4 linked regions of the Diceros bicornis minor genome follow. The protein of the gene in region 1 interacts with the protein of each later gene in a biochemical or structural test. Links are inferred from orthologs where the notes say so. Each region holds a gene or a part of one and is shown in the gene's direction. Other genes may lie near its edges.

What was found.
Region 2: of the proteins of histone H2A type 2-C (region 1) and UBE2B, one has a biochemical effect on the other in vitro, tested with the Homo sapiens proteins (2 studies listed by BioGRID, with this or other methods). The link is inferred for Diceros bicornis minor from reciprocal best matches to the Homo sapiens genes H2AC20 and UBE2B.
Region 3: the proteins of histone H2A type 2-C (region 1) and UBR2 form a complex in vitro, tested with the Homo sapiens proteins (2 studies listed by BioGRID, with this or other methods). The link is inferred for Diceros bicornis minor from reciprocal best matches to the Homo sapiens genes H2AC20 and UBR2.
Region 4: of the proteins of histone H2A type 2-C (region 1) and MYSM1, one has a biochemical effect on the other in vitro, tested with the Homo sapiens proteins (2 studies listed by BioGRID). The link is inferred for Diceros bicornis minor from reciprocal best matches to the Homo sapiens genes H2AC20 and MYSM1.

What each region holds. Positions count from the first base shown.
Region 1 is NC_080743.1:54,429,829-54,434,941, forward strand, and holds histone H2A type 2-C, read left to right. Parts: upstream 1-3,826; 5' UTR 3,827-3,886; coding exon 3,887-4,276; 3' UTR 4,277-4,437; downstream 4,438-5,113. Other genes in the region: histone H2B type 2-E, read right to left, coding at 3,177-3,557; histone H2A type 2-B, read right to left, coding at 4,438-4,830. UniProt on the Homo sapiens protein: Core component of nucleosome. Nucleosomes wrap and compact DNA into chromatin, limiting DNA accessibility to the cellular machineries which require DNA as a template.
Region 2 is NC_080740.1:53,502,016-53,508,906, forward strand, and holds the start of UBE2B (ubiquitin-conjugating enzyme E2 B), read left to right. Parts: upstream 1-3,891; 5' UTR 3,892-3,959; coding exon 3,960-4,003; intron 4,004-4,482; exon of another isoform or gene 4,483-4,964; intron 4,965-6,113; coding exon 6,114-6,194; intron 6,195-6,891. UniProt on the Homo sapiens protein: E2 ubiquitin-conjugating enzyme that accepts ubiquitin from the ubiquitin-activating enzyme E1 and transfers it to a E3 ubiquitin-protein ligase. In vitro catalyzes 'Lys-11'-, as well as 'Lys-48'- and 'Lys-63'-linked polyubiquitination.
Region 3 is NC_080753.1:22,990,588-22,998,488, reverse strand, and holds the start of UBR2 (E3 ubiquitin-protein ligase UBR2), read left to right. Parts: upstream 1-4,883; 5' UTR 4,884-5,188; coding exon 5,189-5,266; intron 5,267-7,901. UniProt on the Homo sapiens protein: E3 ubiquitin-protein ligase which is a component of the N-end rule pathway.
Region 4 is NC_080752.1:20,399,626-20,407,089, reverse strand, and holds the start of MYSM1 (deubiquitinase MYSM1), read left to right. Parts: upstream 1-4,458; coding exon 4,459-4,541; intron 4,542-4,737; exon of another isoform or gene 4,738-5,231; coding exon of another isoform or gene 5,232-5,248; intron 5,249-7,464. UniProt on the Homo sapiens protein: Metalloprotease with deubiquitinase activity that plays important regulator roles in hematopoietic stem cell function, blood cell production and immune response.

The sequences.
Region 1 (5,113 bases):
AGCAAACAGGTTTAGGGCAAGATGAGTAGACCATTTTAACCAGAGCAGAAAACCTGATAGGGGAGCAGTAGGAGATACAGCTGTAAAAGAAGGAAGAGGCAGATTATGAAGGGCCTTGAATATCAAGCTTTTTAAAAGTGTGCATTGGATTGCAGTTCCACCACTTACTTCCTAAATGATCCAGAACAAGTTATTTAACTTCTCCGAGACTCAGTTTCCTTTATCTGTAAAGTAAGAACGATAATAACGAAATCTATCTTAAATGGTGACCGTGAGGATTAAATGAGGTAATGCATGTAAACCACTTAGCAGAGCACCAGGTAAATAGATAAGTGCTCAGTATGTACAAGCAATTATTATTATAACAATTATTGTCATTAACCCCAATATAAGCAAACATATACAGATGTTTGAGCAGGAGAAAGAAAGGATCAGAGAGGTTCTTTAGGAGGATTAATCTCACCATCACTAATTACCTCCCCTCCAGAGTTAAAATACCAAACTCGATCACTTCTACCCACTCCTCATTCTGTAACTTCCTTCCTAGTAAACACCATACCCAGGCAGAGCCCACAACCAGCAATAAGGTTCTCTCATGTTAGTGAAGGGATTCCAGCTGGTGAGCCCCCTACCACGTGGGGACAAACTGAGATGTGTCATGGCCTCTGGGATGGAGAACCAGAGCCTCCAATCCCATCCTCAAGACTTTTAGCCACCACCACCACCATAGATTTATATCCAGGGTACATCCTGAAGAGAATAAAACAGGTGGTATTTCTTTTAATTTTAAAGCATATATATTTCCCCCCAAAACCCAGGGAGGGGTCCAGGTTTTCAGAGTGGTCTTTCTTTCTCAAGTCCCTTAAGCACTGAACTAAGAGTTTATTCTCTGGAGAGTTTCTGAGGAGAAGCCTCTCTGTGCCTCAATTTCCTCATCTGTAAAATGAGAGATAATAATGGTAACTACTTCATCAGGTTCTTGTGAGGATTAAATGAGTCAATGTGTGTAAAGGGCCTAGAACATTGGCACATAGTGAGTGCTCTGTAGGTGTCAGCTAAACTTTCTTAAGGACTTTACTTTTTCTATCTTGTTTATAATGCTTCGTATTTGTGGTCATGTATTTTTCAATTACTAAGCAATTACAGTGTCCTCATAACAGGATATTTCAGCCCCAGTGCACCTCTGGTGTAGAAGTAAGTTTTGCTGATGGCTTATAAATACGCATCCTCCAAGTCAGAGGCACCCAGCTTTTCCATAGACCCAGTAGTCGTTGTATCTGTTAATTTCATTTAATTAGAAAATATACTGCAGATAAAAGAATCCAGCCAAGCTTTTAAATTAATTGGTCACTTTATTAATAACAATAGAATCTACACACATTTGAAAACATACATGTAGGAAACATAAGATTTAATCAGTCTATGGTAATGTCTGGAGTCCATTTGGATTCATGAAACCCCTGCAATCAACTCCGGGACCCCTTAGCCAAAAGCAGAGTTTAATAACTGATCAGACCATCAGTGTATTTATCAGCAAAATCAAGGCTTGGACAGAAAGGTTCAACATTCTGTAATCACACAAAATAAAACTAAAATGCAATTGTCCTCGCATCTGAGGATACAAAGGTGGACAATGTTAGCTGCATGGCCAGCGGACCAATCACTGTGCTTCTCTCAACCTCATTTGTAGAAGGGATATTAACTTTGCGTATCTTACAGGGTCCCCTGAAAAGCAAATGAGATCGCGAGTGTAAATTAAAAGCTCATCTCGGTGGGGAACACAGGATGAGGACGGTGGAATTGGGGGAAGGGTGTCAGAAAAAGAGAAAGGAAAAGGATCTTTTCAGGGACCAACGCTCTGAATTTAATTAAAATCCAAAATAGGTTACATTAAACTGAGAAGCATAAAGGGAGGACTAACCACTGCCGCCTCTTCTTAGGCGCAATAAGAATTTTAACACAGGCCTCCTCCTGGTTGTTGCCCTGAGGTGACTATCATCAGACTTGGGAAAGGAGCTCCAAAACTACTTCCATTTTCATCAGGTCTTCCCATATATTTAATGGAAATGAACCGCACCCATCCATCCAAGGAAGCGATTAAGCAAGGAGTGGAATAGGAAAATTAATTCAAAAAGTATTAATTCAATAAGTATGTACATGTCCACTATGTGTCAGGCACGGATTGGCACTGATGATACAGGGGAACACCAGACCCGCCAAGTCTCTGTCAAGGGCTTGAGGAGAAAGCCCCACAAACAATAAGATAAACGAACCACACAATTTCTGACAGCAACTAACAGGAAGATAAAACAGTTGAGGCACCAGGACAGGCAGGAACGGGGCGCGAATTCCTGAGTGGATGACTTGGGTAGGTGACTTTCAGCCCAGACCTAAATGACCAATGCCTTGCGGTGACCCGAGGCTAGAACGGTCCAAAGAGAGCATTCAAAGAAAAAATGATTCACAAATCGATCAATAGGAATTTCAAAGTCTCAAAGTGAGCGGCGAAAACCAGAACCTACGAAGTCTGGAGCCGCGTGTGGTTTTGAATATTCACGTCGTCCAATCAGGGGAAGGCTGGGACCCAGCACCGCTGGCTCTGCCCGAGGTGCCCGAAACTGCTGGTATCCACAGGGAGCCACACCGCAGGGCAGAACTGGTGACCGGAGACCCAAGAGGCTGCCACTCTCGGGAGAATTCTTCAGAGCTGTGACGCAGTGTTCGCAGGACCCCGAGCTTAGTTGTGTCCTGGGGTCCTTTCTTAAATGAGGATGCCCGAAATCTCACTTCGTTTTAGAACGCCAATAAAACATACCCAACAAAGCCACCAAGACACTGTAGTCTGGGGCCGGACGGTGGGGAGGAGCGTATTCGTAGCATCCTAATTTAGAACTGACTCATAGGAAAACCAAACACAGTAAGGGGTTAAGACGCGCCCTAGATTCAAAAGCAAAGCCAGTCACGCGCCAGGAACCTCAAGTCAGAAGAGCTTAAAATGCTACGAGTGCCATCTTCCACGACCTTTAGCCAACTAGAATAATTTACTTTGCGAGAAAGAACTAAGAGAAAACTAAGTGAACAGAGCTCTTTTCTGGTGATTAAGTGGGTGGCTCTGAAAAGAGCCTTTGGAGTCAAGCGGGCGGCGGCTCGTGCGAGCACCGCGTCCCGGCAGGGACTCACTTGGAGCTGGTGTACTTGGTGACCGCCTTGGTGCCCTCGGACACGGCGTGCTTGGCCAGCTCGCCGGGCAGCAGCAGGCGCACGGCCGTCTGGATCTCCCGGGACGTGATGGTCGAGCGCTTGTTGTAATGCGCCAGGCGGGACGCTTCGCCGGCGATGCGCTCGAAGATGTCGTTGACGAAGGAGTTCATGATGCCCATGGCCTTGGACGAAATGCCGGTGTCCGGGTGCACCTGCTTCAGCACCTTGTACACGTAGATGGAATAACTCTCCTTGCGGCTGCGCTTGCGCTTCTTGCCATCTTTTTTCTGGGCTTTGGTGACCGCTTTCTTCGAACCCTTTTTGGGCGCGGGAGCAGATTTTGCCGGCTCAGGCATTGTAATACACAACACCGATTAGCAAATAAAAGTATGAGAATGGGCGGGCCTGATCCTTTTATAACTACCGTATGCAAATTAGGGCTCCAAAAGTCTCTCGCTCCCATTGGGCCATGTAAGGACCTTGCGTTATCAGTAAAAGCTACGTAACAACACACACTCTTGACCTTATTGGCCGATTCTGGAGCCAATTTAGGACCAATGAAAAACTCGTTCCTGACTCCACCCCTAGGAAAGCTTATAAAGGCTTTCCAATTGCCGATCTTTCAAAACTGTTTTGTTGCAGAGTTTCTGGGCTTTAGGTATTTGTTATAACTTGATTTTTTAATATGTCCGGTCGTGGAAAACAGGGAGGTAAGGCTCGCGCTAAAGCTAAGTCGCGTTCGTCCCGTGCAGGCCTTCAGTTCCCGGTGGGACGAGTGCACCGCCTGCTGCGCAAAGGCAACTATGCCGAGCGGGTGGGGGCAGGCGCGCCGGTGTATATGGCGGCGGTTCTCGAGTACCTGACGGCGGAGATCCTAGAGCTGGCGGGGAACGCGGCCCGCGACAACAAGAAGACACGTATCATTCCTCGTCACCTCCAGTTGGCCATCCGCAACGACGAAGAGCTGAACAAGCTTTTGGGCAAAGTCACCATCGCCCAGGGCGGTGTTTTGCCGAACATCCAGGCCGTGCTGTTACCAAAGAAAACGGAAAGCCACAAAGCCAAAAGCAAATAAATCCTAACTAAGTAAACCAAAGATCAAAGGCTCTTTTTAGAGCCACCCAAGTTTTCAAAGAAAGAGCTAATGCGCTATTTCGTGATCAGCCCTTCAGTTGATACTTTAGTGGCTCTTAAAAGAGCCTTTGGGGAGAGTGGGGATGGTGTCAAGCCTCTTAATTACTTGTTCTTGCCAGGCTTGTGGCTCTCCGTTTTCTTAGGCAACAAGACAGCCTGGATATTGGGTAAGACGCCGCCCTGGGCAATGGTGACACCCCCAAGTAACTTGTTGAGCTCTTCGTCATTTCTCACAGCTAGTTGCAAATGGCGAGGGATGATGCGCGTCTTCTTATTGTCTCGGGCCGCGTTCCCCGCCAGCTCCAGAATCTCTGCGGTCAGGTATTCGAGAACCGCCGCTAGATACACCGGCGCGCCGGCCCCCACCCGCTCCGCGTAGTTGCCTTTGCGCAGCAAGCGGTGCACTCGCCCCACCGGGAACTGCAGGCCAGCGCGGGACGATCGAGACTTGGCCTTGGCGCGAGCTTTGCCTCCCTGCTTTCCGCGTCCTGACATTACGGCTAAAAACGCAGCTACAGCTTCTTTTTCAAGGAGAAGGATGTGGAAAGGATAACCAATTTGATGTAATTTATAAGAGCTACCGGGAGGGGTGATGGGAAGTAGTTTGATTGGCTAAAAGCGGAGCCCGATCAAACAGCCAATAGGAAAGCAGAAAGCAGCCTCTTCGTTTGCATCCTGCACTGCGAGGAAGTGACGGATGTCTTAAGTACCTACCAATCGCTGGGAGCCACATTAAAGGCCCTTATTTGCATGCCAGTATTTTTAAAGAGAGAAGGCT
Region 2 (6,891 bases), on another chromosome or scaffold:
TGTGGGGCCCAGCCCGCACCGGAACTTAGCGAGCCCCTTGCTGTCTCGCTCATTCCCATCACCACCAAAATTTACGATTCCCTCACTACATGTCACCTATCCATCCTGGGTGGGGTCCTCACACGTCCTGTTATGCCCCCGTCAAATATGCGGTTCCCGCAACACGGCTGACCACAGACCAGGCCCCGGGACCCAAGAAAACCTCGGTCCCGCCCGCTCGTCAAACCAGACGTCTTAGTGTCCCGGACCAGTGTCGCGCCCCTGGCCCCGCAGTCGACCTCGTCCGGGCAGCCGCCGCCGCCTCAGCCCATGCTGTAGTCACGCCTGCCTAGCTCCGCGAAGCCCTAGCAGCCCAACAGGACGCCGCCCCTACATAGCCCTCAGTCCCCGCTAAATCCGGGCGGCCCGCTACCATGGCAACGGGGCCGCGCCCTTCGCGCTCGTGGCCTACTGCGCAAGACCGGAATATCGCCGCGGCCGGGGACCCGGAAGGGAAACGGGGAGAGGCGGAAACGAGTGCCGGCTGGGTGCTAGGTGGAAGCCCGGTTGGGGTCGGGGGTAGGGACTAGAGGTTGCTGTCGATCAAATTGGGGCCTCCTCACAGGCTGGTTTTGAGCGGAGATAACGGAAGATCGGTATTTTGACTACAACGTGAGTGACTGAAAATCCTCTAGGGGAGGGGAACCGGGGCAGAGGCTTGTTGGAGCTGCGTCGCAGATGCCTCCACGCCAGAGAACACCTGCCGCTTGTGCTGGGTCCTTAAAGGATGGCTGGCGTCATTACGCAGAGTTGTAAAAAGAGACTTCCAAGGAAGTCTTGTTTAATTATAGTTTCCTAAGCTATCTAGTTATGTTAATATTCCATAGACCGGAGTTTGACCTCAACAGTCGACATTAATCCTTAAAAGGAGGAGAAGATTCTTAAATCAATAACATTTCTTGAACACCCTCTCTATGCTTTTAAATTTTTTCAAACTTGTGGTAATTCTTGTTTTTAAAAACTCCCTTACTACATGTCAAAACTCTAAAACTCCCTGTTTGGGAAAGTAAATAATTCAAAGCGTTCTACCACACAGATTGACATACAAGGGCACAGAAGGCAAAAAAAAAAAAAAGAGGCCGTTAGCTAACCACTCAAGAACTAGAGATGGGGTTCTGCTGGCGTGACAGCCTCCAGTAAACAAGGATATCAATGGAGCAAGTGCCCAACAGTGCCGTCCTTGTTAGGGCTTTCATTCCTTTTTTCTATGAGTTAAATGTAAAAGGCCAAATCTCACTATGCTTCCCCTAAATAAGAGAAAGCATCATTATTATCCAATAAATTCTAGTCCACTTGGTCCCATCCCACCATGCACATTAAAATCACACCTGGAGAGCTTTTAAAGAGGCCCCACCCTTAAAGGTCCTAATTTAAATGAGGTAGGGTAAAGAAATTGATATGTTAAAAGCTTCCTAAGTGTTTCTATGCTGCTACGGTTTATACTGAGAAAGAAGTGGGAGAGGTAGGAGAGGTGGGCATGGTTTGTATCACCACCAAAATATTCCAAATTGCCTTTTTTTTTTTTTTTTTTTTCCTGGTGAGGCAGATTGTCCCTGAGCTAACATCTGTGCCAGTCTTCCTCTACTTTGCATATGGGATGCTACCACAGCATGGCTTGATGAGTGATGTGTAGATCCACACCAGGGATCTGAATCTGCAAACCCAGGGCTGCTGAAGCAGTACTGTGAACTTAACCACTATGCCACCAGCTGGCCCCCAAATTGCCTTTTCTTTTAAAAAGTTATTCAACCATCTTATAAAATACTTTCTATCTATGAGTAAGAATGTCATAGTAAATCTTACAGTGGGCCCAGACTTGCTGAAAGCATATTAAATTTTTTTGTGTGGGCTAAACGTTTGCAAGAGACAAAGCATGAATCAGTGTCCCTGCCCTCAGTGAGCTCACAATCTAGAGCTACAGACTCACTACAGTATAAAATTACAGCTTTAAAACTATTCTTTCTATAGATAGGTTCTGGCAGATCTACTAAGCAGGACAGCCAGTGATTTCTGTTTATACACTGCTGTAGGACTTTAATGAAAAAACTTCACTGATTTCGTTGAAAGTATTACTTCATTTTGGAAAACTGTAAACTGTGGGTTTCCAAAACAATTACAAATTGCTAGTCAAATAACAGGGATTTAAAGAAAAAAGTTTCTCCTCAGCATTTCACTGCATGTAACACTACTGGTGTTTCTTCAACCTTGGCTATGGGGAGGATTAGGATTGCTATGGCAGGAAGGCAAAAAAATAAGAATATTCAGCTTTTGACGTAGAGAATCATATTTGCGAATGAGAGCAGGACCTATCAAGAGTTAGGCCTGACTAACCTGATCTCTAAGGCAGCTACTAAAAGCAAGAGAGAATTCAGGGTTTGAAGAAACGGAGATACCAAGAAAGTGAGGAAAGTTAACCCTTTCTAGTTCTGTAGAACTATGGGCAACTTGGGGCAATGCTAAGGTCCTTATTCCATCCTCCTCTTCCACCTTGGACTGAAGAATTACCCAAAAGAATATGAAAGTGCTCAGAGTCCTTCTGACCAGCTAAGCCCTAAGGCCAGGAATTGGAGGCAATAGAGGGAAGGAAACAGAATCCCCAGGGGTCAACACCTCTGAGCCCCCTGGTGGGGAGCATTTCAGGCCCATTTGCCCCTTACTTGCTAGCATAGAAAACCTGAAATGAGTTATCCAGGCTAGATATATAACCCCCACCTTTATCTGCCTGATCTCTCCCACAGATTTGAATCCTATTTTTAGGTGTCTCTGACAACCAACCACCCATCCACATGCTCTCTTGAGATCTCATCCCAACATTTCTTGACAAATACAAGGTACCCCATTGTGGCCAAATCCATGAACTTTTCCACACATCCTCAAATGAGAGCAGACCCATAAAGGAAAAACAAAATTCCATAATTCCATAAGGACTGTGAACAAATCTTGGACAATCTGTACACTGTTCTTTTATCTTTGCCCAGAATTTCCAACCCTGGAAACCCCACTGTAATGCACATACAGGCTATTTGGTGGCCCTAACTAAGCATTTCAGGAGATTTTACTTTGTGCGGGCCTCAGCATTCAATGCTGCACTTAGCAAAAACTGAGGTCCCTTCATTCTGCCTTCCCCATACACCAGATAAGCCATTGAACCAACCAAAGAGGATTTTGAATCCAAATTATTTTGGGACCCTTTTAAAGACTTAAGCAGCAAAACAAGCTTTTGCTTCCACCACGACTCTTCGATTGCCGTCCCTGTTTATGGGACAAACTGGAGGGAAAACTAATAAAGGTATATCCCTGCCCTCAGCCCAATAAAATTAACTACCGGCTTCATAGACCTGGCTGAGACTCAGACCAGAGCAGCACTCTCACGTGATCCGTTCTAATAGCGTCATAGGGACACGTGGTTCTAGATACTTCGCCCCCTCCCCCTCAGGGGTGGATTGTTGACAACGTCGCCATAGGTCACGTGATCTTACGTCATCCCACCTCCTTTCCCTGAAATCTCTGGCCCCGGATGCGTTCCTCTCTCCCCACCCGGTCGAGCCTAAACTAGTGAAGGGGGGAGAGACACGGTGGTGTTTCGGTTTGAGTGTCTCTTAATCCACAACCTCCAGTCTGAGAACGGAGAACACTAATTTGTTGATTAGTTCAGGCAGTCAAAATGAATATAGAGTCCTGCTGAAAGGCTCCTATAACGAGCTTTCATACGTTCCCCCGCTCCTCCGCAACCCCTCACCCTGTGGTACTGGCGAAGGGCGGAGGGATCTGGAGGCGGCGGAGGGAGACGTCATTGCAGGGTTGTTTGTGCAACCTCGGCAGCGGCGGTGACCCACAGTGATTCGACCGCCGCGCCGGGGGGTGGGGGGGGCTGTGCGGGACTCTTTTTTTTCAGACTGATCGCGGGGCAGGTGGGGAGCATGTCGACCCCGGCCCGGAGGAGGCTCATGCGGGATTTCAAGCGGTAAGGGCCCTCATCTTCGCCCGGCTGACGGCTCCTCCCCAAAGCTGCGGGGCAGCAGGGCGGGGATCCGGGACACCTTTCTCTCTTGACCCTAAGGGCCGGCTTTGGGCCCAGCGGGACCGACGGAAGCCCAGTCCTAGCTCCCGGCCGCAGTCCCTCAATCCTTGCTTGCTCACTCTTCCGACGTAAAAAATTTCGGTACCCTATCCCCGCCTCCAAAAGTAAAAAGATGGCTTTGGGCTGTCCTAGGATTCTCTGCTGCCCACTTGGACCGGCTGCCCGACGTCTCATCCTAGAGCTTGTACCTCATCCCCCCACCTCCCCGGTGCCCCCTCCCTGTCCCGTAAGAGCGAGCCCTTGCAGAAGCTTTTTCCCCGCTTGCTGCACTAGTCAGCTTTGTTCGATGGCCCTGCGGTCTCCTCTGAGGGGCTGGGTTGGGGCGAAGTCCCCCCCCCCCTCGCAGTGAGGGTGGGGTCTGCAGCGCGTGGTCTGGAGGTGGTTAACCCATCCTCCGAAACCCGACTCTCCCCGCCCGCCTGAAAGGACCTTGAGTGCTGGCTTAGAGACCTGGGCCTCGGGCTGGCAACCCCGGCTGCCAGTACCTTCTGGAATTCAGCTCTGTGGCCTGGTGTATAAAGCCCTATCTATAGCCTCCAAAGTCTGGAAAAATGCCTTCCTTGAGGCTGGCGCTAACCTGATACTCCCTGGGCCTCCTTTTGTAAAACAGGGTTTTGTTAGGAGGTGTTGGGGTTAGTGAGGAGGAAGTGACTTTTTTTCACTTGTTTACCTTTGAATACCTGGAAGTACGGAATAAAATGAGAAAACTTAGCAATGCGATCCTCTGCGCATTTTAAATGTTTTTCTGGGGAGACCTTCCCTAGTTGAGACACAATATCTAATGTAAAAACAATATCAGTCGCTCAGGAAGTAATCTCTCGACTTCGCCATTAAAAAGCCGCAGGTGAGGCATTTGGAAGCCATTGTTTTGGGCCTTGGCCCGTTTATCATTGAATATATTTGTAACTTCTCTTAGCCATTTACCTTCGTGGGCGTCAGGCAGCGTAATTCCTCTAAGGCTTCTGTTCATCGTGGCCTAATCTACTTGAGGTTGACTAAAAAGAACGATTTTTATGTGGACTAATTTCAAAGTAGCATATCACATGACAGTCACTACATATATATCTATATGTATAATGTAGCATTTATTTTTTCCTGAGTTGGTAGTCTTTAAAAGGGGATGCTTCTTTGGTGCAAACATCTTCTAACGCTTGAAATCAGTAGACTTGAGATTAGCGCCCGTGAATGAAACTCAGGTAATGAAACTTCCAGTTTGTGTCCATTGTTACCCTGCTTTCTTAAGGGATTCTCTCCTTAATTCTGAGTTGAACACATGGCGCCTCTGGTAATTTTCCAAGGGTCTTCAGGTTACAAGAATTTCACTGTCACAAATATCGGAAGGTAGCTTTGTATTGAGTCTCCTCATGTAAGAGGTGGATTTAGTGTTAGTGCAGAGCCTTTAAAATAGGGGCTGTTGGCAGCTTAACTAAAGCGTTGATTACTTTAAAAGCCATTGCTAATTGAGGCTGGTGGGATAAAGTAACTTTCCTACCTAAAACCAGTTTCCTAATGAAACTGAATATAAGTATTTTCAGTCGTTGAGTACTTACACTGAATTTTTTTTGTTTTGCGGTTTTTGTTTTGGTGGTCATGTTGTACAAGTAGCTGTGATTAGGGCTCAGTCTTTGTGTGTTTATAGCAGCACAGTTGATTGTGCTGTAAAAATATTTTTTGCACTCGAGGGTCTTTTTTCTGGTTGAGGGCAGTCTGTATACCTCAGTTCTTGAAGAGATATCTTAAACTCAGTGATATTTGAAGAGGGATGATTCCTAAGCCCTTTGGAATTTTAGATAATTTGGAGAGATATTTAATAAGTATATACCTGGTCGATTTTTTTTTTTTAAGTCATGGTTTGTTCCAGCTCAGCACAAGAACAAGAAAATGGATTTAGTGTGTGTCTCAGAGTAGATAGTATAGAGTCCATAGGTGTTCTGTTGGGCCTTCTTAGTGGCCTTCATGTTCAACTTTTAAAATTACTACTCTGGATTTCTAGATTGCAAGAGGACCCACCTGTGGGTGTCAGTGGTGCACCATCTGAAAACAACATCATGCAGTGGAATGCAGTTATATTTGGGTGAGTTGAAAAATAAAACAGGTGATAGGTGTGGTGATTCTTTAAGAACAGTGAATGTATAAGAACTAGGAAAAGAGGCTGAGGTGAAATCAGGGATCTTACAGAAACTACAAGGCTAAATCAGAAAAAAACATTTTGATGAGAGTTTTGGCAGTTACATAAAATTTATTTGCATTTTACTGTTACTATGTATAATTTTATAATCACGTTGGGTTTTACTTGATAAAAATACCATTTGAAACTAAAGGAGAATAGATAAATTATTTTGTACAAAATGTACCAAGCAAATGTTTTTGCTTGCCTTCTGTTGGAACTGTAAAAAGGTATTGAGAACTTGCACTATGGCAAGAATTTAAATGAAAAATGTTTCACAGCCCAATGTGAAATAACTGAATGAAGCCTTTTGAGAAGCAACTACATTTTACATGTTAAATATATTGCATAGATGCTTTTTTTTTTTTTTTTTGCTGGGGAAGATTCACCCTCAGCTAACATCCGTTGCCAGTCTTCCTCTTTTTTGTGTGAGGAAGATTAGCCCTGAGCTAACATCTGTGCCAATCTTCCTCTATTTCTTTTTCTATGTGGGACACCTCCACAGCATGGCTGGTAAGTGGAGTAGGTTGGAACCCATGAACCTGGGCCGCTGAAGCGGAGCACCCAGAACTTAAACCACTCAGCACCAGGGCCAGGCCTGCAT
Region 3 (7,901 bases), on another chromosome or scaffold:
GACCTCTATCTCTCCACACACACAGAGGAAAGGCCATGGGAGGACACAGCCAGAGGTTAGTTGTCTGCAAGCCAAGAGAGAGGCTTCACCAGAAACCAACCCTGCTGGCACTTTGATCTTGGACTTCCAGACTCCAGAAGCGTGAGAAAATAAATTTCTGTTATTTAAGCCATGTAGTCTGTGGTATTGTGTTATGGCAGCCCCAGCAGTCTAATATAGGGTCCCAGTCCTCTGCCAGATTTTCTTTCTTTTGAGCTGATCAGTCTCTCTGGAGAAGATTCTCTCAAACTTCTGCATGGAACGGAGGTATAAGCCAGCCACTGGTGTTTTCAGAGCTGGGGGTGGGGTGGGGAATGCACTGGAGTCAACCTATTGGGTGTATAGACTTGAATTAACACCCTAGTATTCAATACAGTGTCCCTGTACTTAGCTGTGCCTGGTGTCTCCCAGTCCAAAGACCCTCAGGTATGCCTCTCTAGAGGATAAACCTCCAGTCTTCTTTCAAGGTTCCCACCTTGAAAGTGGGGTGATCTAACTTCTTGCTATACAGACTTTCAAAAATATTCTTGCTTTTAGCATCGTCTTTGTCCACTTTCAGAGTAACATGGTGCTTCAAATTTCTAAGTCTCTCAGAGTTCTGCATATGAATAAGATTGTTTCTGGGTGGCGGTACTGCTGGCTTAGGTTTCAGCATTCTCTGATTGCTAAGTCAGTTACTTCTCGTCCATTTGCTTTCCACTTTCCAAAATTTTGGTGCTGTCATCTCCACTCCTATTCTGTCTTTCCTTTTTCCTCTTTGCTGTCATGAGGTATTCAATATGCTATGTCTAACTGGAAATTGGGGCTTAAGTTTTAATGCCCACATGAAGACATAAGACAAGACCATGGGTCCAAGAAACATGAATTGAAACTGAGATCTCCACATAAAGCCAGGGCTTTCAAAGGAATGTAACATCAGTGAAAGGATAGACTAGAAAAAAACTCACTGACTGGCAGAGGGAAATGACAAGGAAGCTTTTAACCTTGACTCTGGGTAGGAAAATAACTCTCCTTTAAGAATTTACAAACAGAGACAATGGCACACAATTGAATTAATACTATTAGGGAACCCCCAAGCCAAGAAACTGACCAAAAAAATTGGTCCTGGGTATATGATACTCCTAGAATGCCTGGTCCTGAGTATAAGATGTTCCTAGAATGCCTCACCTTGCAGAAGCAAATGGAAAACTATTTTGAAAGTACATGCTCTTAACACAGGCCTCTCAAGATTCCCATAGCTAATGCTAAGTAAAGATGATCTCAAAATTCATAATTACAAAGCACAAAGCAAACAATCATTTAAATGAGGATTAGCACACACACAGAAAGTAAAATTAGATTCTCAAGATCTTTATAAGTACAACAACCTATTGAACACTACTGAATAAGGATATTTAAAAGTATTAAAGATATAAAACAAAGATTTAGAACCATAAATAAATAAGAAGACATTATGAAAGGAGAACAGAAATCTTTGTAAGTGAATTAAATATAATTTCTAGTAATGAGAAATGAAGTCATTGAAAATAAAAAGTCAGTAGATAGTGAAATATCAGATTAGACACAGCTAAAGAGAGAATTTGCACACTAGAAGATATATTCAGAATGCAGTACACAAAAGTTAAAAGTTGGAAAAATGAAAAAGAGATGAAAAGTCATGGAGAATAGAAAGGGAAGTCAAACAGAAGTTCCAGAAGGAGGAAATAGAGAGAATGCAAGAAAGGTAATATTTGAAGAAATAAAAGGTTTGAAGAGTTATTTGACCATGGACCCCAGTTCACAAAGCAAATGTCACCAAGTACCAAGAATCTATATAGTATAGACCATGTTCTCTGCCCACAATAGTATATGATGAGACATCAATAACAAAAGAAAATAATGTCATACACATTTGAAAAATTTAAAACATGCTACATGGATCAAAGAAGAAATCATAATAAAATTAGAAGATATTTAGAAATGAATTATAACTAATAAAATAAATGAAAATAATAAATAATGAAATAATGAAAACACTACATACCAAAATTTGTGGAATGTGGTTAAAGCAATATATAATGGAAATGTATTGCCTTGATAAATCTGTGAGTCTTAAAGGTAGCCCCCAGGTCAGCAGAATGACCCAGGAACTTAACAGAAATGCAATTTTCAGTCTCCACCCAAAACCTATTGAATCAGAAATTCTGAGGGTGGGGTCCAGAAATCTGTATTTTATCAAGACCTCCAGGTGATTCTGATGGATGCACAAGTTTGAGAACCACTGCCCTACATGTACATATTGAAAAAAAGAGAAAGATTAATAGCAAACATCCAACTCAAGAATTTAGAAAAAGAACGTTAAAATCAACCCAAAAGTAATAGAAGGAAGAAGATAATAATGTTAAGAGCAGAAATTTTCTTTACAATCTATTTTAATGGCTTTAATTCTATGTTAGGACACTTAAAGAGGCATTATCTTTGCTTCTAGGTGGTAACAATCCCGATTTTCTTCCAGGTTGACTCTGACTAGGGAGTGCATCAGTGGAAGGAAGTCGGGCAAAGAAGAAAGTAACATGTAGAAGAACATTTCAAGATATCTCATTCTAGATATCTATGCAGATACATGCATACATTTTTTTCTGGATAGAATCATAACAAAGTATTAAAAATGATTTTCTTTGGGAGGAAGAACTTGGAGTAAGAGGGGTAGTTTTCATTTTTCCTTTGAAAAATATTCCTAGTGAGCTTGAATTTCTAATCTTATACATGTTACTTTTTTTTTTAATTTTTTTTTTTAAAGATTTTATTTATTTATTTTCCCCCCAAAGCCCCAGTAGATAGCTGCATGTCATAGCTGCACATCCTTCCAGCCGCTGCACGTGGGACGCGGCCCCAGCATGGCCGGAGAAGCGGTGCATCGGTGCGCGCCCGGGATCCGAACCCGGGCCGCCAGCAGCGGAGCGCACGCACTTAACCGCTAAGCCACGGGGCCAGCCCTACATATGTTACTTTTATTTTTAAAAGTAATAAGGCTTATATGGACTGTGAGGTTATGGGTAATTTTTATTTTCTTAAAAAATACTTTGGGGCCAGCCCTGTGGCTTAGTGGTTAAGTGCACCCACTCTGTTACTGGCTGCTGGGGTTCGGATGCCGGGCGCGCACCGACGCACTGCTTCTTCGGCCATGCTGGGGCCGCGTCCCGCATACAGCAACTAGAAGGATGTGCAACTATGACATACAGCTATCTACTGGGGCTTTGGGGGAAAAAAAAAGGAGGAGGATTGGCAATAGATGTTAGCTCAGAGCCCGTCTTCCTCAGCAAAAAGAGGAGGATTAGCACGGATGTTAGCTCAGGGCTGATCTTCCTCACAAAACAAACAAACAAACAAACAAACAACTTTGTTAATATTGTAGTACAGATCTTCCTCAACTACAAACCCACTGTAAATTGAAAATATCGTAAGTCAAAAATGCATTTAATACCTCTAACCTACCCAACATCATAGCTTGATCGTCTGTCTACCTGGTCTACCTTAAACGTGCTCAGAACACTGACATTAGCCAACAGCTGGGCAAAACCATCTAACGCAGAGCCTATTTTATAATAAAGTGTTGAATAGCTCATGTAATTGATTGAATACTGTACACTGTACTGAAAGTGAAAAACAGAATGGTTGTATGGGAACAGAATGGTTGTAAGTGTATCAGTTGTTCACCATCGTGATTGCGTGGCTGACTGGGAGCTGCTGCTCACCGCCGTTGCCCAGCATCACGAGAGAGTATCAACCAGCATATGGCTAGCCTGGGACAAGATCAAAATTCAAATTTGAAGTATAGTTTCAGTTTCCACTGAATGCATATCCCTTTGACACCATCAGCAAAGTAGAAAAAGTATAAATCGAACCATTGTAAGTCAGGGACCATCTGTATTGTTAACAACAGTAACAACAACAAAAACATGTCCCAAACCTGGATTGGGTCAGAACTGGTTTTGTGGGTTTTTTTGCCTCACATGATTCACAATCTCCCTCTGGGAATAAAGTAGCATGCTTGGTAAACTGTGTAAGCAATTTTCTGATAAACTCTAAAGGAATTGAAGACTTGTTCTAAGAAACCCACTCACCCAATTGTCAGTCAAGAGCCTAATTACCTCTAACCAAACATAATTTTCTTTTGTATCTAATCTAACAATGATTATCTTTCTATAAAATGTCCCTATCAGGAGCAAATCTTTGAATTGGCTTGCTAGACTCCTTTTCCTTTGCAGCAAGATTTGTAATCAATTTTGTTAAGTGGTCATAACTAAATCACTTAGAAATGTTTTCTTTAACAGCATTTAAACATATTTTAAAACCTTTAAAAACCTGGATTATGTTCACCTCGGTTACTAATCTAAAGGATGAGGGAATGGTGGATGACAGGGCCATAGAACTATAGGAATAGAATGTAATTCATTCGTTCCTTTGACAAGTGTTTGAGTGGCAAGCTCATATGCCAAGCTTTGACAAGTGCTTGATTGTCTACCACTTGCCCAGCACTGTTCTGGGATCTGGGGATACAAAAATGAACAAACGGGGTTGGGAGAATAAAACTACAGTTCCCACAATATCTTGCTCTTCTGCCTCTTCCCAGGTGGGCGCTTCTTTCCACTAGTCTCTTCCCAGGATTCTAGTTGTGCAAAAAAAGCCCCGTCCGCTTATCTGCCCTTTGCCTGTTCCCTTATTAAGAGATGGACTACAACTCCCACAATGCCGTCGTGGGGCACCCTATAAGAGCCCCACCTTCTTCCCGGCAGTGTCAAGGACGACTACAGTTCCCAGAATGCTCGGCTTCCTCTCTTGGGTGTTATTGCCCCTTTCCCGGTGCGGGACGCGGTAGTAGCGAGCGAGAGTGCCAGGCCAGGGGCCCTGTGTGTCCTTCCCCGGGGCAGGGACGGGGCAGTGACTTGACTCTTGGGCGCTGAGCCGGGAGGGAGCGCAGGAGGCCGCCGTCCCTCCTGTCCGGCTCCGCTCACGCTACTCTCCGTCTTCTCCACCTGCAGCCGCCTGGACGACTCCGGACCGACTGCCTGGGGCAGGGGTGGCGGTCTCGGCCGCCGGGGCTGTGGCGAGGCTGCGGCCCTCGGGGCGGCGGTAGCGGCGTCAGCGCTGGGGAGGAGGAGGAGAGAAGATGGCGTCGGAGCTGGAGCTCGAGATGCAGGCCATCGACCGGAGTTTGCTGGAATGTTCGGCCGAGGAGACCGCGGGGGTGAGTGTCGGGACCCGGGCGAGGACGTCCGGCCCTCGCTGGCGGCGCCCCGGGGGAGGAAGCGACTCCTGGAAATCCCGTAGCGGCTGGGCTCTCTGCCTCGCCTTGTGGGTAATGGCCCGAGAGGCCACCGATCCGGCCCGTCCCCTGCCCGCTTTATCCTCACAGAGCCCTCCGAGCTGCTCTGTGCACCAGCCACCTCTACACTCCCTTTCTGCCCGGGAGAACCCACAGTTCTTCCCTTAGCCCTTCTTCCCCGACACTCCCGTTAAGTCCCCAACACAAGGGCCTTTGCCCTTTTTGACAGCCCTTGGGAGAGGGGAGGGAAAGACGTTTTCTGATTTTTCGGGTGTAATCGCACTACTTTATTCTCCTGACTCCTTTTTCTGAGATAAGTGAAGCACTGCCTCCTCCACCGAAACATGCTACCTTAACAGACTCCCTACTTTGTTTCTGGGACTGCCCGAGGCACCGAAGGCTGCAGACGACACTGTTCTCCCTCTTCCCCCCTTCAGTGCGTTTTTGCACCGATTTGGTCAGTCGACAGCGCTGATGAATATGCGGAAAGTGGTGTCTCGACATGTTTACTGAGTGTGAGAAAGTAGTCGTGGAAGCTGGGAGATTAAAAAAATAATTTTTCTAGGAGTTGGGGATAGTTGGATGGAGAGCAAACGTTATATAACTTTGAGAGAGCAGCTTTCAACAAATAGAAGCTAATAATGTCAGGTTCGGTCACAGCATAAGTGGGAGCAGTTATGCCCCAAACTTAAACCATTCAAACCCAGTATTGCACTGAAACTGTATTATGAGTAGAATGCTCGTATGGGTAGCAAAGTTGTAAAATGATTAATTTAATAAACTCGGTGGCATCTTTCCTCGAGAAAGACAGGGAACACTCATTGGAACAGATTGTCCAGAATGATTATGAATGGACCAAAACAACCTGGGCCTTTAGAGGCCTCCAATTTAAAAAGCTACTAGGAAGGGAGTGACCTTTGAACAAAAGTCAACAATCTGAATGTTCCGAACACAATTTTAGTGTGGCACCACGGGGCGCTGAACACAAGTGCACTGCGGAGCACTTGGTCAGTGAGGAGTTATTTTGGATGAATTGATGAGGACACTAAAGTCAGAGTAGAAATAAATGCAAGAAGCAGAGGTGAAAAGTTAAAAGTATGTTGTTGAATGATGTGTCTTTGCTTGTTGGTTTGTTTTTTAAACCAACTTGTTTAGTCTAGGTCTGTTTTTATTTACTTTCTGCTTAATATTGCAACAGCCCAAGATTTTTTTAGCCCCCATCTGCCTTTCATTTATCAGAGAGATTTGAAAAAGAAAATGAAAGCAGTGTCAAAAAGGAAACAGGAAAATGATAGTACTGGCAGCTGTTCTCTATCCATGTCACCCTATCAACATCCATTTTAATATCCAATCTGTTATTGGCCTCAAAGTAATTTTTTTCTCCCACCGAATTTTGTCTCTTGGCCCCGTGATACAGGCTACGTGCTCTGTTTTTCCAGTTCTGAAAGTACAAGCTTCAAGTGATGAGAGCTTCTCCAACTTGTTGAGGTTCCTGAGGAAACCAGTTATACAACCGGTGCTGGAGACCAACGCTCTTAGTTCTTGTGCAGTGCAATTCTCAAGCAGATGCACTGGGAGAAATTAAGGGAAATGCAATCAGAATTTATTGATTTGGACTTAATTTGAGTTTGTGAAGATCACAATCTGAGCTACATTTTACTTTTGCTCTGTTTACTTTTAAGTGGCTTTCTGAACAATTAGATGAAAAAAATGTTTTGTCTGAAGGGCAACAAAATTTCTTAGAGAAGATGCAAACTAATATTAATATATAGGAATCTTCTGGCTGTGTAACCTGGCCTTACTTCGTGAGGGCTTTATTGTCTGGATTTAGTTAAAACAGCATAACAGTTAAAACTGTTCTTTCAGCTTAGGCTCCAGCACAGCCCTTGATCACAAATTAAAATGAATAAGTAAAGTTTTCTCAAAAGTAAATTTTAGAAAGGGTAAACAAGTAAAGAAAGCAGTTATTGCGGCCTTTTGACCTCTGTCACTGGTAATTTGTTGGGATCACATCCATTTAAAAGTCCTTAATAAGCACTAGTGTCATCTTTCCCACACTTTATTTACACATTGCTTTTCTTATTTCAGTTATGAGGAGGAAGGACTTTTTGTGATCCCACCTATTCTTTAACTAGTATGCCTCACAAATAAAAGCATTTAAGCGCTCTCTTCAATAATTGTAAGTTTAGCATGTTAAAGTGGCCCTCTCTTCTCAGTTTTCTCAGTAGAATTGATTCCACAAGTTGACTTTCCCAACACTTTTCCAGTCTATCTGCATTTCATGCTCCATGGATTGGATTATAGTATGTTCCAATGGATGATTTTGGTTTAAGAAGTACATATATTGTTTTCCCCCAAGTATAAAAGAAATACATATTCATTATAGAAGATTTATGTAGTTTTATGTCTGTATTGGTTATTTTTGCTTAAAAATTTTTAACAGTTTATATATAATTCACATATCGTACAATTCTATTCAGTGATTTTTAGTATTTCACAGAATTGTTCAACTATCATCACAATCAATTTTAGAACATTTTCATCACCCGGAAAAATA
Region 4 (7,464 bases), on another chromosome or scaffold:
GGGACTATGCTCTTCAACATCAGTCTTAGCAAAATATTTTCAAGCACCATGTATGACCAGGCAAGGGAAACAATAGAAAAAATAAACAAATAGGACTATATCAAACTAAAAAGCTTCTGCACAGCAAAGGAAACCATCAATAAAATGAAAAGACAACCCAACATTTGGGAGAAGATATTTGCAAATCATATATCTGATAAGGGATTAATCTCCAAAATATATAAAGAACTCATACACCTCAACAGGGCAAAAGACCTGAACAGATATTTCCCCAAAGAAGATATACAGATGGCCAACAGGCACACGAAAAGATGTTCAACATCATTAACTATCAGGGAAATGCAAATCAAATCTACAATGAGATATCACCTCACTCTCGTCAGAATGGCTATAATTATCAAGACAAAAACAACAAGTGCTGGAGAGGATGTGGAGAGAAGGGAATTCTCAATAATTAGCTTAGTGCCCATAGGAAACATAAGGCATAAATGAGAGAAGATTTTATTTTGTTTTTTTGTTTGTCCACATTTCAAGCCAACTTTGTTTTGTTATTGTAGTGATTACTTTAGGGTTTATACAATACATCTGTAGTATATCACAGTGATAACATATTCAAGTGATATTATACCACTTCATATAATAACCTTACATAATATACTTGCATTTCTCATCAGACTTTATATTATTGTTGTCATATACTTTAATTATACATATGTTATAAATCTCACACTACATTGTTATTATTTTTGTTTAAACAGTCAACTCTCTTTTAAAGAGATTTAAACTCTAAGAAAAAATCTTATATATTTACCATGTACAGTCATGCATTGCTTAACGAGGGGGATACGTTCTAAGAAATGCTCCATTAGGTGATTTCGTTCTTGTGCACACATCACAGAGTGTACTTACACAAACCTAGATCCTATAGCCTACTGCACACCCGGCCTATATGGTACTCATCTTATGCAACCACCGTCGTATATGCAGTCCATCCTTGACTGAAACGTTGTTATGTGGCATGTGACTGTAGTTTCTATTCCCTGCATTCTTCCTCCTTTTATGCAGATCAGGATTTTCATCTATCATTTCTTTCTGCCTGAAGGATGTCCTTTAACATTTCTTGTTGTAAAGATAGGATGACGAGTTCTTTCAGATTTTGTGTCTTAGAAAGGCTTAACTTTGCCTTCATTTTTGAAAGATATTTTGGTAGGTGTACAGTTCTCTAAGTTGTCTGACTTTTTTCCTTTCAGTAATTTAAAGATATTGACTCACCATCTTCTTACCTCCAGTGTTTCCAACAATAAGTTTGTTGTCATTCTTATCTTCCCACTGTAGGTAACATGCCTTTATTCTCTGGAAAGTTTTCCTCTTTATCACTGGTTTTGAGCAATTTGATTACAGTGTGGTTTGGTGTAGTTTTCCTTATGTTTCTTCTGCCCGGGGTTCCTTGAGTTTCTTGGATCTGTAAGTTTACAGTTTTCTTCAAATTTGGAAAAATTTTCAATCATTATTTCTTCTAATATTTTTCCTGACCTCCCACCCTTCACTTTTCAGAGACTCCCATTACGCATATATTAGGAGGCTTGAAGTTGTCCTCACTGATTTTCTGTACACTTCTTAACCTTTTTATTTCTTAGTGTGTTTCATTTTAGATAGTTCTTTTATTATGTGCTCAGGTTCACCAATACTTTCCTTTGCAATGTCTACTTTGCCACTAGTCTCATCCAGTATATTTTTCTTCTCAGGCATTGTAGTTTTTATCTCTAGAAATTCAATTTCATTCCTTTTTGTATTTTCCATGTCTCTACTTTCTGAACATATGGAATATAGTTAAAATAACTGTTTTAATGTCTTAGTATGCTAATTCTAACATCTGTGTCAGTACTGGATGGGTTTCAATTGATTGACTTTTTTTCCTTATTATGGGTCATATTTTCCTACTTCTTTGCATGCCTGGTAATTGGATGCCAGATATTTTGAAATTTGTTCTGTTGGGTGCTGGGAATTTTTGTATTCCTACAAATATTCTTGAGATTTTTTGGGGAGGGAGGGCACAGTTACATTTACCTGGAAACAGTTTGATCCTTTCAGATCTTGTCTTGAAGATTTGTTAGGCAGTACCAGAGCAGTGCTCCACCCAGAGCTTATTATTCTCCATGACTTAGGCAATACTATTCCGAGTTATCTACCCAGTGCTTCACGAATCATGAGGTTTTCCAGTCTGGTCAGTGGGAATAGGCACTATTCCTAGCTCTGTATAAGTACCAGGCACTATTCCTGCTAATCTTTTTCCATTTGTTCTTTCTCTAAGTTAGGAACAGAGTCTTCTATCTTGCATTCCCGAGTCTAGAACATTACTCTCAAATTTTGACTGATCAATAACCTCCTCAAAAATGTGGTACAGCAAAGGGTTGATTCTGAGATAAGTGTCCGTCCTCTGTGACCCCCCCAGCAGCCTGTAACTCCTCCATCATAGAACTTATTATATCATCTTGAAATTGCATGTTTGATAGACTTTACGAGAGCAGAGACTGAGTCCATCTTGTTCAATGCCATTTCCCCAGTATCAAGCACAGTAGGAGTACAAAAAGTATTTGTGAAATATGAATTCTGAATTCTTCATCCTGCTTTCAAACTACTTGGTGAGAAAATGGGTCTTTAAACAAGTCACAGAGTTGCAGACCTCTAGAAAAGAGAATTTTAAATAGTAGCCAGGCCTCAGTCAAGAGTTCACCTGACTGTGAGGTTATAGCCCTATCCTGGCAGGTGGAGTTGGGCTTAGACACTTATGAACCTATTTCACACAAAGCTAACTAACCAGGAGCATGGTGTGGGGTATGTATGGGAAGGCTTCAGACTAGTCTCCCTGTTTAGGGAGGCCTCTTCATCTAAAGACCTTGGGGGTATACTTGAATTCTGTGCAGGCCTTTCCTTTCTTCCACATATATTTTAATGCCTATTGATGTCTGGCACTGGGCCAGAAGACCTCCAGTGCTGCATTGCAGGAGATGCTGTTCACATGGTATTCTGTTTTATGGTCTAGGAGACATTTGATATCATGTGTATCCAGATTGTCCTGCTAGGGTTCCCATCTCAGCCTGCTACGTAAAGATCAATTAAAAGCATGTGTATTTGACATTTCTTTTGACTATCTGGCCATGTACATCTTTCTAACCTTGCTCTAAATTAAATTCATCAAACATCTTAGAATGCCTACTCTGTGCCAGGTATGCCAGTTACCATTGGGACTGATCATTGGATAAGCCATTTGACAACAGGAACAGCATTCCCACGGTGGCCTAAGGCTAGGGCACTATCCAGTTTCTGAGCACTGGATCTCCCTCTTTACAAATCTTTCTACCTACCTTCTGCCATCACATTCACAGTACAGCTCATCTTATGCCCTGAGCACAAGCAAAGGTGAGATGGGACAAATCCAGAATAGTGTGGGAAGTGAACTCATTTCATTGATTTATTGGTTCATTCGTTCATCAGTTTGATATTTATTGAGCACCTACTATGTATCAGACACCATGCTGAATGTTGGTAGTATAAAGACTAGCAGATACAGCCTTTGTCTTGAGAGAATTCACAGTCCAGTGGTGGAGGCAGACAAGCGAATGAACAGTTACAATAATGTGAGTGATAGATACTAAGGTAGAAGAATACATAAGGCCAATATCTAATTTCTTGAGGGGCCATAAATTCTTTGAGAAACATGGTGTTTATCTGTCATAGTTCCTAACAACACGATTTGTAGAGGGTGAGCACTCAGTAAAGAGTCAAGAGAGCTGGATTGTGGTCCCAGCCCTGTCTTTGAATAGCTGTGTATCCTCTCATAGTCATTTCAGCTTTCTGAGCCTCAGTTTCCTCATCTGTGTGACTGATGACACCAGTCCTGCCTACCTCACTGGGTTATTGCAAAGATCAATGGTGACGAGACGAAAGTAATTTTTTCGTTAATTATAAAGATTTCCACAAAATAAAACATGCAATCATAAATTATATTCTTAAATGTTTGCTTAATTTTAAAATAAAAGTTGTTCACCGCTTCACATAAGTGCCGAACGATCCTTTTCTTAAAAAAAAAAAGAAAAGAAGCAGGTAAGGGTCCTTCATTGTTGCCACCTTACGGTTCAAAGCAGGTCTGGCGTGCCCTTTCCTGCACTCCAGAAAGATATCTACTATTATCCCCATCTTACAAATGAAAGAAGTGAGGCGCCAGAGAATTTGTGCAAGCGCATGGTCTCTTCAAAGCCCAAGCCTAAGCCACTTCCCAAGGTCTTCGCGCGTCACTAAAGTCAGAAAGACCGCGCCTGGGCTGCAGCGGGCTGCTTTTCTCTGGAAGCCCCGCCTCCCCGCCACGGGAGGGGCTGGACGAGGCTGCGACTCCGCCCCGTGACGCGTCGGCCCCGCCCCTAGGCCCTCCGCCTCTCGCGGGATCTCTCGGGATGCCGGATGCGGTCAGGTCCCATCATGGCGGCTGAAGAGGCGGATGTGGATGTTGAAGGGGACGTGGTGCCGGCGGCGGCACAGCCCGGGTGAGGCGTAGAGACCGGGTCTCTCAGGGACGGGGAGGGCGGGGAAGCGATTAGAGTATCCTGGGAGGGCCTCGGGCCCGGCCGGGGACGGGGGAGCGGGAGACCGTCCCCTGGGCCGGGGTCTCCGGCGGCCGGGGAGCGCCGCGCCCATCCGCCTGCCGGCCGCTCCTGAGCCCGGCGGCGGGACCGGGCTGGTGCCGGAGGGCTCCTTCACCTTTCGCTGGATGTGTGAGGGCGCCGACCTGGCCCGGCTGTGCGCCCCATCCAGCGATTAGATTCCTTTTTCCGTTACCTCCACCCCAGCATTCGCCCCCTCGCCCCCTCCGACAGTAACTAGAACGAGGGCGGCTTCTGGACTGGGCCTGAGCCCGGGGATCCTTGTGCCGTCGCCTGCAAGCCGTGTGACCTTGGGCGTGTCGTTTCATCCCTCCTGGCACAGCTTTCCTCTTCCACATGGGGATAGTTGTGAAAAACTTCCTGGGAGGCAGCTCGACTTCAAGGAGAGGGGGCGGGCTTTAGAGTTGGACGGCTCTGGCTTCTCCTGCATTGGCTGGCCCTGCCGGTAACCAGCAGTGTGACCTTGGGCCAGACGTTTAACTGGTCTGAGCCTCAGACAGCTCATGTGTACACTGACAATCAAGATACGTACTTCAGACTGTTACTGTGAGGATCCAATGAAATAATTATGGGATGTGCCTTAGCATACGGTAGGTGCTCCGTCAGTGTGTTCCTTACCATCCCGTTACCCTCAGAGATGGTATTGTGAGGACTCATTGAGGGGTCACAGTGTATTTAATAGCTATTCCTGCAGAGCAGGCCAATGTGGTTTTACACTGTAACCTCCAGCTTGAGAGATCTAGCCCGTTGCTTGCCTTTCGAGTAAGAAATTGATACCATTTTGAAATGTGCTTCCAGAGTCTCCTTTTAGTAATGGAAGAGGCCTAGACTGGTCAGGAATAAGAAGACCTCAGTTCTAAACTCCGTCAGCTGTTGCTTGTAACTATGAACAACTTCATTAGAAGTCTGTTAGGTTGAACCATGTGAAATTGCCAATCTTAGACCATTTTTGACCTATAAAATGTCAGTTTCATATGGTCCCACCTAATATTAGGGCCTCTGTAAATTGTGGGAGAAGAGCACTAACCCTGCCCAGGAGGGACTAAGATAGTGGGTTTCAAGTTCTCCTGAGCTCTAAAGCACTATAAAAATGTGAGGAGTAATTAAATTCATATAGTCGTTCTCCCCCAAATCTTGAGGCAAAGCAGTCCAAAGTCATACAGATGAGTAGAAGCCTTTAATAACAGTCATCGTTCACATTTGTGTAGAGGAGTTAATCTTGACCAGGGGCTTTGCATGCATGATTTAATTTACTTGTCACAACAGGGCTATGAGATGAGTGGGCAAGGATGCTTCTAGAGAAATGAGTTGGGCTTGGAAACACTAAAGATCATCTGAGAGCATTGGCTCTACCCTTTTTCCACGGGTTCTTCTTTATTCTTCTGATTGTGTTTAATTTTTCTCCCTTTCCTCTTTTTCTTTCCTTTCTCTTGCTGTCTTGATTGAGCCTTAGGTCTACTGGTGGCACCTGTGACCTCCCTAGTCTCATGCAAGCAGGAAAACAAAGGTTATTGGTTCCTGATGGTCAGAGCCATTGCTTTACACAACTCCGAGGGGCACCAATAACATTATATTCTGGTGAATGGTGCTCCCTGGTGTTGGGGCTCTGATCATACGGAATTTAGTGTGAATGATGCACCCTGCAGTGTGTAGTTACAGCTGATGATAACATCTGTGGAACCCTTGAAGATTAATTGAAAACACACTTTTAAGTACTTGCTAAGTGCTCGGTACCAGAGTTAGAAGATGGCATTGACACTTCTTGGTTTCCCTTCTGCTTTTACCATTCCTTCTTGTCCTCCTTTTCTTCTGCTTGTCCTTTAAATCATAGTGTTTCTAGGGGTTTTATCATAAGACTTCTCACTAACCACACAGTCCCTGGTGAGGTCATCCAGAAGACTTAAATTTCTATCTCTTAGGTTGGACCATATGAAATTTTGCCAATTTTTGACCTACAAAAATGGCAGTTTTCTAAGTTCCACCTAATAACATGCTGATGTTTGCCAAATCTGTCACCAACCCAAATTTTCTCCTGAGGTTCAGATCCGTTTATCCACTTCTCTGAAATCTGTCTGCCCTTGGATGTTCCACAGGCACTTCAATCTCAGCTTATGAACTTTCCCCACCAAACCTGCCTCTCCAAGTTCCCTAGTTGAATGAATGGCACCATCCACCCACTCGCCCAAGGCACAGACCTAGACTTTATCCCTTTTCTTTACTCTCTTCTTCCACTCCTTCTAGCCTATCACTTATTAAGGGTCTGTTGATTCTAAGTATCCTCTCAAATGTATTCACTTCCTAGTCACACTGTCTGTTCGCTAGGTCTGTTACTGTCACCTCTCTCTGGTATTTATGAGATCACTCCCTCTTAACTGCTCCTTGTCTCTTAAGCCCCCTTCGGTTCTTTCCTGAAGTTAGAGCAGTCTTTCTTACATCCAGATCTGATCATGTTATTCCCTTTAATCCCCACTTGGCTTTATGATAAAATCTTCATTCCTTAACTTTTAGAGACCTGTATGATCCATGCCCCACCTACGTCATTCAGTTGTTCATTCAACGAATATTGATTAAGCACCTTTTATATACCAAGCCCTGGGTATGTAACAGTTGTCAAAACTGAGTCCTGGCTCTCATAGAACTTTTTATGTATGCCAGATGGAGATAAGTAGAAAAAGATAGAAGAGAGAAGGTGGATGGCTTGTGAGCTTTATCTCATGTACACTTACCCAGGAAAATGATAAGGTCTGAAACTGCAGGACCTCAGAGGTAGTGTGGATACGGTGGAAGGACTGATTTGAAAAAGGTT